Macaca fascicularis: one gene and its partner. The protein of the gene in region 1 purifies or fractionates together with the protein of each later gene. This does not show direct contact. Links are inferred from orthologs where the notes say so. Each region holds a gene or a part of one and is shown on either strand. Other genes may lie near its edges.

Region 1 (3,748 bases):
GGAGATGGCAAATCACTAGAGACAACGCAGGACCAATACAGAGTATTAGGCATGTTCTATTCTACTCTAATTCTCTGCAAATTGGTATTCCATTAACTGCATGTGGGATTTATGGGAGCTCGCTATAAACTAGAATATTTAACTAGAATGGCCTACTCTGTCAGATAATAGCTTACTGTTGTTAATTTTCAACTAGTCAATCTCAAAAAAGTTTCCAACTTCCAATATACTTCACATCTTGATTTAATCATCCGGAAAGTCATCCATATCAAAGCCTCCATACAACAAAGGGGCAGGCAGCTTGATGCAGAAGAAAAAGACCTGCCCTTGGAACCAGGAGACTTGGGTTACACATCCCAGCTCTACCACATACTGTGTAACTGGCTGCTCAGAGCCTCAATGTCCTCATCTGTAAAATGGGAGTGACACCAGCCTCACAAGAGTTGTAAAGATTAAATGAGATGATACAGGTGAATGTACTCTGTAAGTTCTACAAGGTTATGCAAAGGTTAGTTATTACAAAAGCACAAGATGAAATTATCAAACAACTCAGGCTAATGACAAAAAGCATGAATTAAACTGGTGTTTCTAAAGGGGTGCGGGAGTGGCATTTTGCTCCCTAGGGGACATCTGACAATACTGGAAGCATTTTTGGTTGGAACAACTGGGAGACAGGAATTGCTACTGCAATCTACAGACCAGGGATGCTTCTAAATCCTACAATGCCCACGACACAAAGAATTATCAAACCCCAAATGTCAATAGTGCAAGGCTGAGAAACCCTGATCTAAATAATCACTTAAAGTTGGATTTGAGAGCTTTTTAGAACAGAAATCTTCCTAAGCAGGCTTTACTTTCTCCCATCATCTGCTTAAACATTTGCAAGATGGATCATCTTACAAAACAGCTCTTTTGTAAGTGAAGCCAAACTGCCAACTTCTGGAGTTTCTGAATGTATAAAACTGCTTTTAAAGGAGATGCTCTCTGATTACAATTTGGCTAAATTGCTTTTCCGAAGGCCTTGACTTCGGCAGAAGTTCTCCTGGGCACAGAGATAGGGTCTGTCACTCCACCAGTAGGCCGTGAAGATGGTTTCCTAATTCTAATTTCCTGCTGAAATGAGAGCCACGAGGGTCTCTAAACGAATTAAATTCACATCACGCCAACTGCTTGCTAGCTTTGTGCCGGGCACGGTGCCAAACACCTCCACATAATTTATCCCACTTAAGCCACTCAACAACCCAGCGAGGTGGGCATTATTACCAGCTGTTTGCAAGAGAGGAAACTGAGGACCAGCGAGGTTAAACAACTTGCCCAAGGTCACTAGCTGGCCAAAGGGGAGTCCAACTTGAACGGAGGTCTCCAGTTTCCAAGTCACAAGCTCCTTCCGCCAACTCGGAAAACCCAGGTGTCAAGTTGTCTCAACTTCCCATGAATTTTTAAGGCAACGGCAACTTCTCAGTAAGTTTAGGTAGCTGAAAATGGGAATTTCCGGGGGGCTGGGCACTCTCACATACACTCCCCTCTCTGCAGCTGTCTCACCGCAGGTACCTGATAAATCATTCCATATCGCCCGCGGAACGGGGAGGATTTATTGGCGCTGGAGTTTCGTGCCAGGCCCAGGAAATGCCATCTTTGAAAGCCGAGAGGCGGATTCACCCTGGGAGCCAAGCGCTGGCCGCCGCGCTTGGCTGGCTCCCCGCGCGCTGTGCGCCCCCTCGGAGCCCCAAGCCGGGGTCGCGGCGGCGCGGGGTCCTCCGGGGGTGCCGGTGGCACGGGCTCCGCGGGTTGCGCCCGCCCCTGCCCGGCCGGAGCGCACGCCCACGCTCCAGCGCAGCGTCCCGGCAGCCCGCCCGCCCGCCCGGCGGAGCCCCACCCGGCGCCCCGCCCGCGCCCTCCCGCCCCGGCCCCGCCAGGTGAGCGCGGCGGGGCGCCCCCTCCCCGCCCCGACGTGGTGCGGGGACCCGGTGCCGCCGCACCCGCCAGCCCGCCCGCGCGTCCGCCGCGCGCCCCAGGGACGGGTGGGGGCGGGGTGGCGCCGAGCGCGACCCCGGCCCCCGGCAGCCCCGCGCCCTGCCCCTGGCTCGCTGGGGTCGCACTGGCCAGTACCTGAAGCATCCGGGGGCGCAGAGCGCCCAGGTAGGTCGCGCGTGCGGGCGGCGCGGAAGCTCGCTCGCGGCGCGACCTGGCCGCCGTCTGAGCATGCCCAGTGCCGCCCGCGGGCGGTTCCCGCCGGCCGGGCTGGCCGCGAAGGGCCCGCGCGCCGGGCGGGGGGCGGGCGTCCGGGCTGGCCTGCGGTGTTCTCCCGCCCCCGCCCCAGGCTGGCGCGCCCCGACGCATCCCCTGGGGCCACCGGGGCTCTCCGCCGAGCTCCGGGCAGGCCCTGAGTTCCCTCACGCATGCATGCAGCCATTCGTTCCACAACCATGACTGGGCACCTACTGTGTGCCAGGCCCTCAGTGATTTCATGCCTGGGGAAGGCAAGCAGTCGGCGCCCAAAGAAACTTTGAAACGAGGAGTCTTGCACGACGGGTGCGCGGTAGAGCTGAGGTCCCGCTGACTTCCAGTCCAGTGCTCGTCCCGCGGCACTAGTAAGCTTCCCTGGTTAAACCTCCCCAAGGCTCGTGGGACCCCTACCTGGTCTGTGCTCCCGCTTCCCACTTCCGCCTCATCTCACACCTGCCTTCCTGAGGATCCTAGAGCACCTTTCTGTCCATCAGACTCTGGAACTTCACCAGCCTCAGGACATTGGCGCGCGCCTTTCCCTCTGTGGGACGTTCTTACCCAGCTTTTCACGTGGCCGGCGCCTTCTCATTGTACATAGGTCCCCTCCTCAGAGAGGCCTTTCCTGACCACCTTCCTCGATTAGCCCTCTGCTCCTGGCCACTCCATGTACTTTATTTTCTTCATAGCATTTAACACGATTTATCCATTATCAGCAAATATTTATTGAGCACCTATTCTGGTTCTTCTCGCGTGGTGAACAAATAGACAAAAATTCTGTCCCCCCGTGGAGTTTGGGGAAAGAGGGACTGGTAACAGATAAACAGCAAATTAGCCAACTGTGCGTTATATTAGAAAGTGATAAGTTCTAAGAGGGAAAAAGAGCAGGGTCAGGAGGTTTGGGGGTGGAGGTAAGTAGTGAATTTTCAGTGAAGCAGTCGGATAGGGCCCTTGAGCTGATGGGCGGTCTGATCGGGTGACACTGAGAAGGTGATAGTAGTATTTCAGCCACGCAGATAAGCGGGTAAGAGCATTCCTGGCCGAGGGAACAGCCAGTGCAAAGACCCAAAAGGGCGCCGGACCGCTTAGGGAACGGCAAGGAGGCAGAGGAGCAGATGAGATCTGTCACTTTGGCTTTTCCTCCGATTTGTTTAATTCTCATGTTGTATTTCCCTCCTGAATGTCAGCTTTGGGGCTGTAGCTCTGCTTGTCTTTACTGCAGGGACCCCCCTGCGACACCGTCTGGCACACAGTAGGCGCTCAAACATTATTTGTTGAATATGTGAACGAAGGGATGCAGAGATGGCTGGAACCCTCCAGTCGGGCCTGGGTGCCAGGTCCTGGGGGCGGTCGTTCCAGGGATAGACTGAGGCCCCGGCAACCCCTAGAAGCTCATTTCGGTCCTTGTCCCCGAGCCGCATGTCCCGGGATAACGCCGCTGCAGCGGGTGCCGCCCGGGCGTCGCGTCGGGGGGAATTCCGACGGAGCCCGGAGTCCAGGGGCAGGACTGCCAGCGCCCCGCCCG
Region 2 (3,748 bases), on another chromosome or scaffold:
AGTGAGGACTTTATTGGGGAAGGTGACTTTGGCTTCCAGAAAAGAGGGAAGGTGGGGACCTAGTAACAATGACCATTTATTCCAAGGAGGCCCTGGCCCTGAACCCAGGGTTCCCATAGGAATCAGGGAGGCACCTGAGTCCCCCAGGACCAGGGCATCCCAAGGCATCATGGCAGCTGCGTTGTTCAAAAGGAAGTTTCATTGAGCTGCAGCTGCGTTGTTCAAAAGGAAGTTTCATTGAGCTTCATCTTGGGAGGTGTGAGGGGAGTGCCGAGACTGGTGGAGGGCCAAGGGGCTGGTGTGGGTGGCCGTCGGAGGTCCGGCCCACTCCGCACCAGTTCCTGGCAGCGTTCCACAAAGCTGCCCCCACCACGGCGCCGGGCCTCAGCCTGTGGGGGGCTTGGGCTCCCGCGGTGGCCAGACAAGGAGGTGTTGCTGGCGGCTGAGTGGAGGCTGAGGAAGTAAGGACAGTAAGTGCACGTCATCACAGGGCAGCTGAGCCACTCTGCCCCTGGAGCCACCACACTCTCCCCTCTCCCTCCATTGCACAGAAGGGGAAGTGGAGTTGTAGCTACCTGGTGAGGGAGATGCGGGGTGAGGGGCTGGGCAGAGAGCCCCGAGAGGGAGCCGAGGGAGCCGGTGGGGCCAGCTCGCAGTGTTCCAGCTGTTCCATCAGTTCTTGCTCCGTCAGGCCACCTGCTGGGGGGCACGGAAGCAGGGTCAGGGGGCAAGACAGGGGTCATAGGGCAAGGGCCTGGGTTGCATTGCAGTGCAAGCACCCACAGACAGGACAGGAGAGAGGAGGCAGAGATCAATGCGCGGGGGCCAGAGGCTGAGACAGGGGTTGAAAAACAAGGGCAGGAAGGGATGGGGAGCAGAGAGGGGGTCAAAGGAAAAGAGGTCAGAGGGCAAGGGCCTGGGAGAGAGATCAAGAAGTTGGCTGTGGAGAGTGGTTCTGGGTGAGGCTGTGGGGCTTGGGATGGGATTGGGGTGGGACAGGGAGTACCAGGGGCCTGGCCGAGGCCGTCCATGGCGGTGGTTAGGTCCCACATGGCCAAGCTGCCGTTGGCCTGGCCGGTGAGCAGGTAGCGCCGGGGCCGAGAGCCAAGCCGCCGGGAGCCCTCACACTCCAGCACTGTGAAGGCCGTAGTGGGTGAGCCATCCACGGAGCGCACGGAGCACACCCTGGGGGGGGCAGTGGGGAAGGCAGTCACCCTCGCTTTCTCACCTTTCCTAGTCCCAGTCCCCACCACTGTGGCTGCAGTTCCTGCCTCCCCAGGGGCCACCCCAGTCTTTATCCATCCCTAGCCCGCTTTTCTCTCGAGTTCCAGTCCCAAGGGTCCAGCAGCTCTTGCACACCCCAGCCCCAAATGCCCAGGGAATCTCCCAGAGACTTCTGCTCTTCCCTGCTCCCACTGCCACGGAAAGCCCAAGGCCTGTCCCAGCTGCTCCCCCACCTCCTATCAGCCTCCTGGCCTCCTCCCTGGGCTCCTGGCCTCCCACCAAGCCTCCTTTCATTCCCCGTGCAGTGGCCACAGTTCCCCGCACAGGACAAAGCTTCAGCCCTTCTACAGCCTGACAAGGCCCACCCGCATCTGCACCCCATCCTCACCTCCTGTGCTCCAGCCCAGGAGCCCATGTGTCCTTCCCGTGTGACCCTATTTGGCCCTTCTCAGCCTCTGCACATACGGTTCCCTCAGCCTGGGGCCCCCTTCCCCTCCCTTCTTTCTTCTGCTCCTTCCTACTTGTCCTCTAGGTCTCTGCTCAGAGTCCCTTCATCCAGAACAGCCTCTGAGGCCCCTTTCCCAGCTGAAGCCAGGCTCCTACAGCTCCCTGGGTCTCCTCTATTCCACCCCAACCCCTCTGCCTGTGCCCCCATCCCACCCTGACCCCTCCCCCTGTGCCTCCAACCAACTTGGCCCTGCCTGCACTGGGCTGGCACTGCGCCAGGTCACTCCCACCCACACCCATCACACCTTTGATACCTCCCACCCCAAACCCACCAGGCCTGTCCTCCCTCCCAGCCTTTGATCTTTCAATGCTCCTTGGCTGTGACCCCTTTCTGGCCTCAGTGACCTGGCTGGCATCTTGCCTTCTCCCCTGACCTCCCTCCCTGTTGGACAGGACTGTCCTCACCGCTGCCCAGTAGATGAGAGACGCACGAACAGCTGGCTGGCGCTGGGCACCACCTTCTGGATGAACACTTGCTGGTCGTCCCGTTCGCCGTAGGGGCCTGGGCCAGGCAGGGGCAGGGGTCAGGGCCAGCTGGGGTCCCCTCAGCCTCAGACTTCCTTCCCCACTGATGAAACCCACCATCCCAAGACCCGGGTCCCATTCCCAGGCTGTTGGAGTTGGGCAGGGCCAGAGAGGGCTGGGGGCTTGCAGCAGTCAGTGGAGCTCAGGTGCCTCAAGGATCAGGACACCCAATCATTGCAGGCTCCTGGGTCAGGTGGCCACAAGTGGGAATTAGTGGAGGTCAACAGGGGTCAGGTAAGGGGGTCAGTGGAGTGGGAAGGCCAGGAGCCAGTAGGCACCAATGTCATTGCCAGCACTGCAGCCGCCATGCCCATCCGCCGACTCCAGCGCCAGGATCTTGAAGGAAGCGAGTGGGGTAGAGCCGGGCTGGGTGGAAATCATGCCGCGGAAGCGAGTCACAGACCATGTCCGCACGTGGTTGTTGTCGGCACAGACTGAGGGGGCACAGGGAGAGCAGGAGATCAGGCCTGCTGTACGCATCAATGCTGCCTGCCCCTCCAGAGCCCCAGGACAGCTCCGCTTCGGGAGGGTCAGCCCTTGCTGAGTTCTTCCCTTTCAGAGAATCCTTTCCTCCCCAGAATTCCAAATGCTAAAAACCCTGTTGCCTCTGCCTCCAAAACTGTTCCAGAGCCTGATGTCACCTTGCCCTGTCCTCTGCCCCACGCTGGTCCTGGTCTATTTTGTCACCTGCCTGGACCATATCAGTACCCCCCTCCCAGAGGTCCCTGCTCCTGTCCTATCCACCCACCTTGGCCTCCCAAAGTGCTGGGATTATAAGTGTGAGCTACCGCACCTGGCCATTGATGTCCATTTCTATATATTTATTGTCTGCCATCCCTGCTAGAATGTCAGCTCCATGAGGGCAGGAACTTGGCCCGTCTTGTTCATCAATGTATCCCCTATGCCTGGCACACGGTGGGTGCCCCATAAATCCTTGCTGAATTGATGGATTCCCGAACACACACAGACTGACTCCTCCCCAGACCGATCCCCTTATGGTATTCTCTCACTTCTGCAATTACAGTCCCATCCCAGGTCAATCCTCTCCACCAGAGCTCTCTTCCTACACAGTGTCCGTCCCCAGTGGAAATTCTAATCCTTCTGCCTCCACACTCCCATCTGAGCTGTCTCTCCCAGCACTGGAGCACCCCACAGAGGCTCACCTGAGATGAGGTGCTTCTCCGACAGCATGATCTTGGTGACAGGGCTGCGGTGCACAGTGAAGGTCTGGAAGAGCTGAGGCCCCGAGCCCACAGTCTCTGGGTGCTGCACGATGACCCGCACGCCCCCTGAGCTGGTGCCATAGGCGATCTCGATCCAGTTCCCACTGTCACCTGGTGAGGGGCCAAGGATGAAGAGAGGGCCTGGGCCACAGAAACAGAAACCAGGGCAGAGAGAAAGAAACAGGCACAGAACGGAGACACAGTCAGAAAGCAAGGAGAGGCTGGGCGCAGTGGCTCACGCCTGTAATCCCATCACTTTGGGAAGCTGA

Evidence for each region.
Region 2: the proteins of PTPN3 (region 1) and SHKBP1 purify together in Homo sapiens (affinity purification with mass spectrometry; 4 studies listed by BioGRID and IntAct, with this or other methods). This does not show direct contact. The link is inferred for Macaca fascicularis from reciprocal best matches to the Homo sapiens genes PTPN3 and SHKBP1.

The regions. Positions count from the first base shown.
Region 1 is NC_088389.1:48,615,935-48,619,682, reverse strand, and holds the start of PTPN3 (tyrosine-protein phosphatase non-receptor type 3), read right to left. Parts: upstream 2,199-3,748; 5' UTR 2,110-2,198; intron 1,844-2,109; exon of another isoform or gene 1,552-1,843; intron 1-1,551.
Region 2 is NC_088393.1:47,703,053-47,706,800, reverse strand, and holds part of SHKBP1 (SH3KBP1-binding protein 1), read right to left. Parts: intron 3,621-3,748; coding exon 3,420-3,620; intron 2,691-3,419; coding exon 2,535-2,690; intron 2,234-2,534; coding exon 2,137-2,233; intron 1,186-2,136; coding exon 1,007-1,185; intron 700-1,006; coding exon 576-699; intron 454-575; coding exon 248-453; coding exon of another isoform or gene 222-247; exon of another isoform or gene 212-221; coding exon 186-211; 3' UTR 1-185.